Oryctolagus cuniculus: one gene and its partner. The protein of the gene in region 2 purifies or fractionates together with the protein of the main gene of each other region. This does not show direct contact. Links are inferred from orthologs where the notes say so. Each region holds a gene or a part of one and is shown on either strand. Other genes may lie near its edges.

What was found.
Region 1: the proteins of KAT6A (region 2) and CSNK2B purify together in Homo sapiens (affinity purification with mass spectrometry; 3 studies listed by BioGRID and IntAct, with this or other methods). This does not show direct contact. The link is inferred for Oryctolagus cuniculus from reciprocal best matches to the Homo sapiens genes KAT6A and CSNK2B.

What each region holds. Positions count from the first base shown.
Region 1 is NC_091436.1:138,947,319-138,951,223, reverse strand, and holds the start of CSNK2B (casein kinase II subunit beta), read left to right. Parts: upstream 1-1,331; 5' UTR 1,332-1,350; coding exon 1,351-1,422; intron 1,423-2,487; coding exon 2,488-2,590; intron 2,591-3,150; coding exon 3,151-3,266; intron 3,267-3,673; coding exon 3,674-3,749; intron 3,750-3,893; coding exon 3,894-3,905. UniProt on the Homo sapiens protein: Regulatory subunit of casein kinase II/CK2.
Region 2 is NC_091433.1:92,275,710-92,279,514, forward strand, and holds part of KAT6A (histone acetyltransferase KAT6A), read right to left. Parts: 5' UTR 3,718-3,805; coding exon 3,118-3,717; intron 1-3,117. UniProt on the Homo sapiens protein: Histone acetyltransferase that acetylates lysine residues in histone H3 and histone H4 (in vitro). Component of the MOZ/MORF complex which has a histone H3 acetyltransferase activity. May act as a transcriptional coactivator for RUNX1 and RUNX2.

The DNA of each region.
Region 1 (3,905 bases), on a different chromosome or scaffold from region 2:
CCCATTCAAGCCCTGGGAGGAAATGGAGAAGTGCAAGGGGACGAGCAGCAGGATGGCCGGCGCCGCCTCAGGTTAGCGCACCGGGCCGTCCTGGTTGTCAATAACGCTCAACTCAGGACAGACACACCCGACCCAGGTCCCTCAGCACGGAGCCCGTTCGTACCTCCCACCTCAGAAGGCCCGAGCTCAGGGTAAAACGTGGGGCTCTCCTGTGCAAGGCCGTGCCCGACTTGATAAGAACTAGGAGGGTTGGCCAGGGCTCACTGAGGGTCCCCGAGGGCAACGTCTGCGACCCGACTCGCCTCGCTTCTTCCCCCGCCCCCTCTTGGCCCCTCAGTCCAGTGAGCATACGACTCTATTTCCCAGGCTCCTGGCCCCGAACGCCTTACTTGGCTTCCGCTTCCGGTGGCGCCTCGCTGTGCCCCGCCCCCGAGCCGCGTCCTCGGGGGCCTCGCGACACGAGGGTCGTGAGTGAGCTGTCCTGGGATTCGTAGTTCGCTTTTCCCTCGCTTCGCCGGTCTCTCGCCCTAGCGGACTCCATCTCCCAGCGTCCACCGCGGCTCTCGCCCCTCGGCGCTTGCGCGTTGCCCTCTTCCCCACCCTCCCCGATTTCCACTCCCCCCACCCGACTTCGCCTGCCGCGGTCGGGTCCGCGGCCTTCGCTGTAGCGGTCGCCGTCGTTCTTTGGAAGCAGCTGTTCCCCTCCCCCACCCCGGTCCCGCTCCCCGTCCAGCTGGTGAGTGTGAAGTGGTTGCCCCGCGGAGTTCCCGGTCCCTAGGAGCGGCACATGGGGTCTCCCCGCCTTGAGGTGGGGGCGAGGAAGGAAGTGACCCGGTCCGTAACCGTGGGAGGGAAGGGTGGCCGGAGAGCGGGAGGCAGGCTGTGGGGACTCCGTGAAAGAGTACCTGGCGGTGCCCGCCCCTCGCCCCGGGTCGTGAGAAAAGGAGGTGTCGGTCGTTGCTTGGCAAAGATAAACTTCTAATTCTTGGGGAAGGGTGCCGGAGCCCTGCGGTGGTAGGGAGCCCGAGCCGAGGACTCTGCCAGAGTTGACACAGGCGAGAGGGGTCTGGCCATCGGGGGCGCGGGGGATGTAGGTAGGGACTGCTGGGTCGGTACTTGTGGGCTCCTGCCAAGGAATTTCTAAGTTCATTCAGAGAAAAGGGGCCGAGGTGTAAATAACAAGAGCTAGAGAAGCCTGTCCCAAAGGCTGGGATCCTTTAAAAAAAAAAAAAAAAAAAAGGGTGGCCCCAAATTCTTCCATGGCTGAAAGACAGAGTGTGGGAGGAGGGAAGGTGCCAGAGCCGGGGAGGGAGAGCTTGGACTTGACTCCTGTTTCCAGCTGACGTGAAGATGAGCAGCTCGGAGGAAGTGTCCTGGATTTCCTGGTTTTGTGGGCTCCGTGGCAATGAATTCTTCTGTGAAGTGAGTGCTTTTCGTTCTTCCTACTCGCTGGTTCCATGCGTTCAGGTTGGGTATCTTCAGCTTTTGCACACTTTATCCCGTGGAAACTCCTTCCCGTGAAAGAAGGGGTCCCCTCAGTAACCCCCCACTAATCAGCGGCGATGTGGCAAGACTGGGGCCCAAGTCCCATTTCTGTCACACACCCCACCGCACCCCCAGGAGGATAACATTGAACTAGTCAGACCATCTTTTTTTTTTCTTTTTCTTTTTTAATTTTTTTATTGTACTTAAAGTATCTGAAGGTAGAGCAACAGAGAAAGTGAAGGATCTTCTGTCTACTGGTTTATGTCCCAAATTTCTACAACAGCTACTGCTACCAGCCAGGCTGAAGTAAAGATCCCAAAACTTACCTGGGTTTCCCATGTGGGTGGCAGGGACTCAAGTACTTGTGCCATCACCCTGCTACCTTCCAGGGTGTGTGTTAGCAAGAAGCTGGAATTGGAAGTGGAGTTGGGACTTGAACCTGAGCATTCCAGTTTGGGATGTGGGTTATCTCTAACCATGTAGGAACCACCGTGCCAAGTGTCCTTTCTCCTTTGCTTTTTCATTACTAGAATGCTACTGGTAGTGCTTATCTCTGGGGGCTGTTAGGAGAATTGGAATACTGCACCTTAAAATGTTCTGTAACATGCAAAGCTCTGTGTTGACATAAGGAATTCTAACCACCTTCAGAAACCAAGCTGTTCAGCCTCCACCTTCCTCAGAGAGCAGCTGTTCCCTCAGGAGAGGACAGAACTGGTTCCTAGAGATGAGGAACAGGACTAGAGACGCGGGAGTCGAGTGTGTCTCTAAGGAGACTGCTGTGCTTGCTTGTCCTTGGAGGAGAGAAGCTGGAGCTTTCACGGGGGGGAGGGCGTGCGTGTGAACTCGGGACAGCGGCTGAAGTACTGACGCTGAGTTGGAGTAGGAAACAGGCAGACCAGACGCAGCCGTGTGGCCGACAAGGCGTTCGTTAGGTGACCTTGGCCAGCTCAGAAGCTGGGGGTCCCAGTAGGAGTTTTCCTCTTGACCTCCGTGTTCTACCAGGTGGATGAAGACTACATCCAGGACAAATTTAACCTTACCGGCCTCAATGAGCAGGTGCCTCACTATCGACAAGCTCTAGACATGATCTTGGACCTGGAACCTGGTGAGACACCCTCAAGGTTCATGGTGGGGGGGCTGTTTTTCTCTTCAAATTACCTCTTGAATTTACCTCTTGAATTTCTAAACTTCCTTTTGGTTCTCTGACACCCTTAACCTCAAAGTCCCAGCAGCATTTTTGCCCCCCTCCTTGAATTCTTGCCTAGTTTTGTGACTGATAGCACTTGCTGCCATACTTTCTGAATTTGTAGCTCAGCGCTCCTCCTTATGCGAGTTTCCTCGCGGGTCTTGTTTACTGCCTCTTTGCCTGCCTTGCACCCTCCAGTCTAGAGTTCCACCTTCTGTGTTGACATCTTTGTATTTACGTACTAAGGAAGGAGTTGGGAGGGAGAGAAGAGAGCAGAGGCTGAAGAGGTGTGGAGAGAAGGCTGGGCTTCCTTGGGTTGGTGGAAGGGGCAGAGACCCAGGTTAAATGCCCACGTGAGGACTGGGTGAAGCTCAAGGATGGGTGCTGGGCAAACTGGGCAGCCAACAGCCCTGGGGGTGGGCGGGGCACCTGGGAAAGCTGGAACGCCAGTGGTTGCATGTGGCTGGCCCATATTTCAGACGAAGAGCTGGAAGACAACCCCAACCAGAGCGACCTGATTGAGCAGGCGGCCGAGATGCTTTACGGATTGATCCATGCCCGCTACATCCTCACCAACCGAGGCATCGCCCAGATGGTGAGGCCTCTCTGCGCCTGCGTGACTCCTTGTGAGGCAGTAAGGGAAACAGGTTCCTACAGTGAGCAGTAATCTGGCAGCCCTGTCAAGGAGTCGAGCTGAGATGAGAAAAACCCAGAGTTTGGGCCGGGAAACTGAGTCCTCCCTGGACGTCCTGCTGAGGGGGTGTCTTCAGGGAGGGCGATGTGAGCTTGGTCAGAGTTGTGGACTGCTTCTTCCTCAGAGAACAGACGGCAAATGGCCCTGGATGTCATTAGCCTCCCTAACTGGGGGGAAAGTTGGTGGGCCCCTTTGATCTGCACAAGGACCTCCAAGAAGAGGGAGGAAATGTGGAGGACAGAGTTATGTGGGGGTCGCTGCTTATCCTCATACCCACCCACCAATCCCTTCCATTTTTTTCCCTTCAGTTGGAAAAGTACCAGCAGGGAGACTTTGGCTACTGTCCCCGTGTATACTGTGAGAACCAGCCAATGCTTCCTATCGGTGAGTATTGAAGAAGGGAGAGGGGGCACCATCTGGCAGTCCTCTGGGAAGGAGTTGGGCTCAGCAAGGCGGGAGCTGAGTTCTGGGGCAGGGGACTCGGCAGTGTCGCGGGTGCCTGGCCTGCTGAGTCTGGCTGTCTCCCAGGCCTGTCGGACA
Region 2 (3,805 bases):
GGCCATCCTCCAGCACCTCCCCAGATCCATCAGCAGAAAGCTGGATCCAAATCAGAGTGGTCAGGACTCCAACAAGCATTCTGAGATGGGACGCCAGAGTCGCAAGCCACAACTTCACCTGCCGCACCGCGCTGGCCCCACCTCCATACTGTTCAGTGTGAAAATACACTAGGGAGCAGGCGTTTAGCCTGGCGACTGGTGCCCGCGACCCACATGGGAGCACCTGGATTTGACTCCCAGCTCAGACTTCTCTGACACCAGCTTCCTGCCTGCAGACCAGAGCAGGCAGTGGTGATGGCCCAAGTGGCTGGGTTCCTGCCATGCCCGTGGGAGACCAGAACTGCAGCCGCAGCGTGGCACCAGACACTGTCGGCATTTGGGCAGTAAACCAGCAGATGGCAGGCTGTCTCTCAAATAAATAAAAAATAATGAAGGAAATTTAATGTAAGAACACACTGAAGTTCACTGATATTCTCAAAAATGCCTCTTAAAAATACTTCTGTACAGTTGATCTCCCCAAAAGAACAAAAATAACCTAGCTGCTAAAAATCTAACAGGTTCTACAGGTCCCCCCCGAAAGTTAGTATCACAAGTAAGTAAACAGAATTGATACAGGAAAAAGTAAACAGGCCCCGGCTCCGGCCACTCCACATCACCCACCCTACAGCAGCCAGGTAAGACGGCACTGCAGAGAAAACAAAGCCATCTCAGTCCCAGCACAGTGTGTGGCCCACAGCAGCACTCAGCAACTAGTTGCTGAATTAATTAATGCCTAAAAGTAAAAGTACTTCCTTTCTCCAGCACTGTCAAATAAACTCTGGATTTTGTTTATTTACTTAAGGTTCTCTGTGTTCGTAACAGCAAGCCAAACAATTCTGCAAAGGAACGGGCTGGCTGGTCTGAAGGAAGGGATGGAAAACGGTGGAAACACAATAAAGGCACAGACAGGGCATGCTCATCGGAGGAACAACCCCGCCCCCGGAGTCCACCGCGTCAGGACTGAGTGTGAGCTTTCCACAAGCTTGGCGAGAGTCCCTCGGAAACCTTTCCTCAAAGACCTCACTGAAAAATAAAGAACGGGGGGGGGGGGGGGGGGGGGGCCTCTGGCTCAAGGACCAAGACACGGGTGGACAGATCTGCTCCCTGGCAGTGTCTGGGTCCAAGCCCACCCCCAGCTCCTGACTCCAGCTTCCTCCTGCTGCACACTCTGGCTGTCAAGTAGTTGGGATGCGGCCACCCACGTGGGAAACCTGGACTGAGCTCCAGGCGCCCAGCTTCCACTCCTGCAGCCGCACCCTGCCAAGGCTGGCACCCGAGGAGTAAACAAGCCGAGAAAGCATGCACTCCTGCTCCTGTGAGTACCTCCCTCCCTCCGCCCGCCCTCCCTCCCTCCGCCTCTCAAATAAATACAAAGAACAAATCTCATCAACTCTAACGTTAAGGATGTTATCATAAAATCAGCTTTCCAAAGACAACAGCACCCACAAGCCGTCTACTCAGTGAAACTCAATTTTCCCCAGTGCAAACTCTACACTTAGTTACTTCAGTTAACAATACTATGTATTAAAGCGGGGAAATCAGTCAGGTTTCTCTAACCAAAGTGAACCAGCAGATCTTTACTGAATCGAACTTAAAATACAAAGGTGCCAGCCAGGCAATGGCCTCAGCAAAGGGCGTAGGCTCAGCTGCAAAACCAGGCTCGCTGGACCCCTTGGTTCCCACGCTGCCTTTCAAAAGTCCAACCCCGGGGTGCCGGGGCTTCTCCCTCACTGTACCACACCGACTATCTTTTAAATGGACACCCAACTCACGTTTTTATGTCCGACTAATATTTCAAAAGTTAAAAGATTTAATTCAAGTAAGGGAATTACTAGAAAAGCAAATACCCAAGTGCTCTAACAAGAACTTAACAATATTCAACTCACAGGTACGGCACTATAGTTTCCCGCTTCCAAGCAGTTAGCCTGTGAAATCACTGGGTAACAGGTGTAGGAATCCAGCTGTTACATTTTATTCAGCTTCAGCCACATGACCAGGGAACGGTTCTTAGCAGGTCAGGTTCCCACAGCACGGAACTACAAGACAGAGCATGCTGGCGGCCTGTCCATCAACACTCCTCCATAAACACAGGAGTGCCCCACAACTGCCTGGTGAATGGGACTCTACCCATTCATGACGCTATGAGAAAGACTTTAACAGTCACAACCATAGATAATGCTTCTATTCCAAGTTCACAGGGCGAACCCAACTCCAAAACAGAGCTCCCCAAAGAACTACAACTCAGAGCACTTGAAATAAAATTGACAGCTATTAAGTCAGTGTTGGGAGTGGGGGGAACCGGCTACTGACAAAATTCTCCTCATTCCCAAATTATCTTGTAGCAGCCAAAGTTACCGCAGAGACACCATCCTGTCAGCTGCACAGCGTGCGGGCATGGCACGCACAGCGCTGTAAGGCCTCCCCTCCGTGCACCAGACCCGAGCTCTCCAGAACGTTTGTGAGTCAGGACACTGTGTGGCTGCCCCGTAACTAGAGCTGCCTTCCATAACATGAGGACCTCATCGCACGCAGACGCCAGAACACAAGACAAAATCTGTACGGCAAACAGCTGAAACAAGAACGCCAAGTAGGCTGAGCCACCCCCACGGGGCATTAGATCCTCTCACTCCTAATGCAAACCTGCAACAAGAGGGCAGACACAGAGACAGGCTCTGGGAGTCATCTGCTTGTTTCAAATTCACATCAACTACAGCACCTGGCCACTCAGCAAGGCAGTGCACTGTCTTAGGCAGATCGCCTAAGAATTTTTATGTATAAGTCTTAAAGTCATTTGTCAATTTTTAATTCTAATCTAAACAAGTTCTTCCAGGTAGATCAACATTCTACACCTTGAATCTTAGGCTTCAAATATTTCAGAGTAACGGAACCATCAGCACCTTTATTTAAAGTTCTCACAGCCACAATGATAACCAACCACACATGATCCCTCCACAGAGGTCCCCACACACAAAACCTGGATATGGCTTCCATGTGAGTGTCAACACCCTCTGAACGTGACCTTGTCGCAGGCCTGGATCCCCAGCTGGAGGATCGCTGATGCCTACCAACCGCTCTTACCTTGTCCTTTTCGTGTGGAAGGAGCGACACCGGAGGTAAGCAGGAAAGAGACTCACACGTCTCCTTCCCCTCCGGGCTGCTCGCTTTAGCGCTGAGCCGATACAGAGGTCCATCTTTAAGGAGTCTGCCGTGGCCAACGGCACGCTTGATGGCCAATCGTAACTGCTGGTGAAAGCCAGAGGCAGCGCTGCCTCCAAATAACGCAGACACATCCTTCTGCCCTTTCAAGAAACGTTCAATACTTCTCAAAGTGGAGCCACCAGACTCTGCCAAGCCCTCAAACGCCCTTTTGATCAGTTTATTCCAATCCACATTCTGCTTGCTATCCAACTTTCCATGGTTCCGAGGTTTAGGAAGTGCTATTCGCCCAGGATTATCAGGATCTTTGTAGGAATTGAGGCCTTTATTGGAGACTTTTAAAATCGTTCCATCTTTAACACTGAGCTCCAACTGCTCTAAGACGGTCTTCCGATCCAAGCCGTGGGATGACGAGACCGCGTTGCATATCCTTTCCTCCGACGGACGCTGTTTCTGCTTCTTCACTTTCTTGATGGCCTCCAGAATCCACTCCGTGTACAGCGGGTTAGCGAGCTTTACCATGGTGAAGGGTTCTGTACATCCATAGAGTCGCTATCCCTTATCCTGATGCTGAGTGAGTCCTACGCCATGGGAAACACGACTCTCGGAG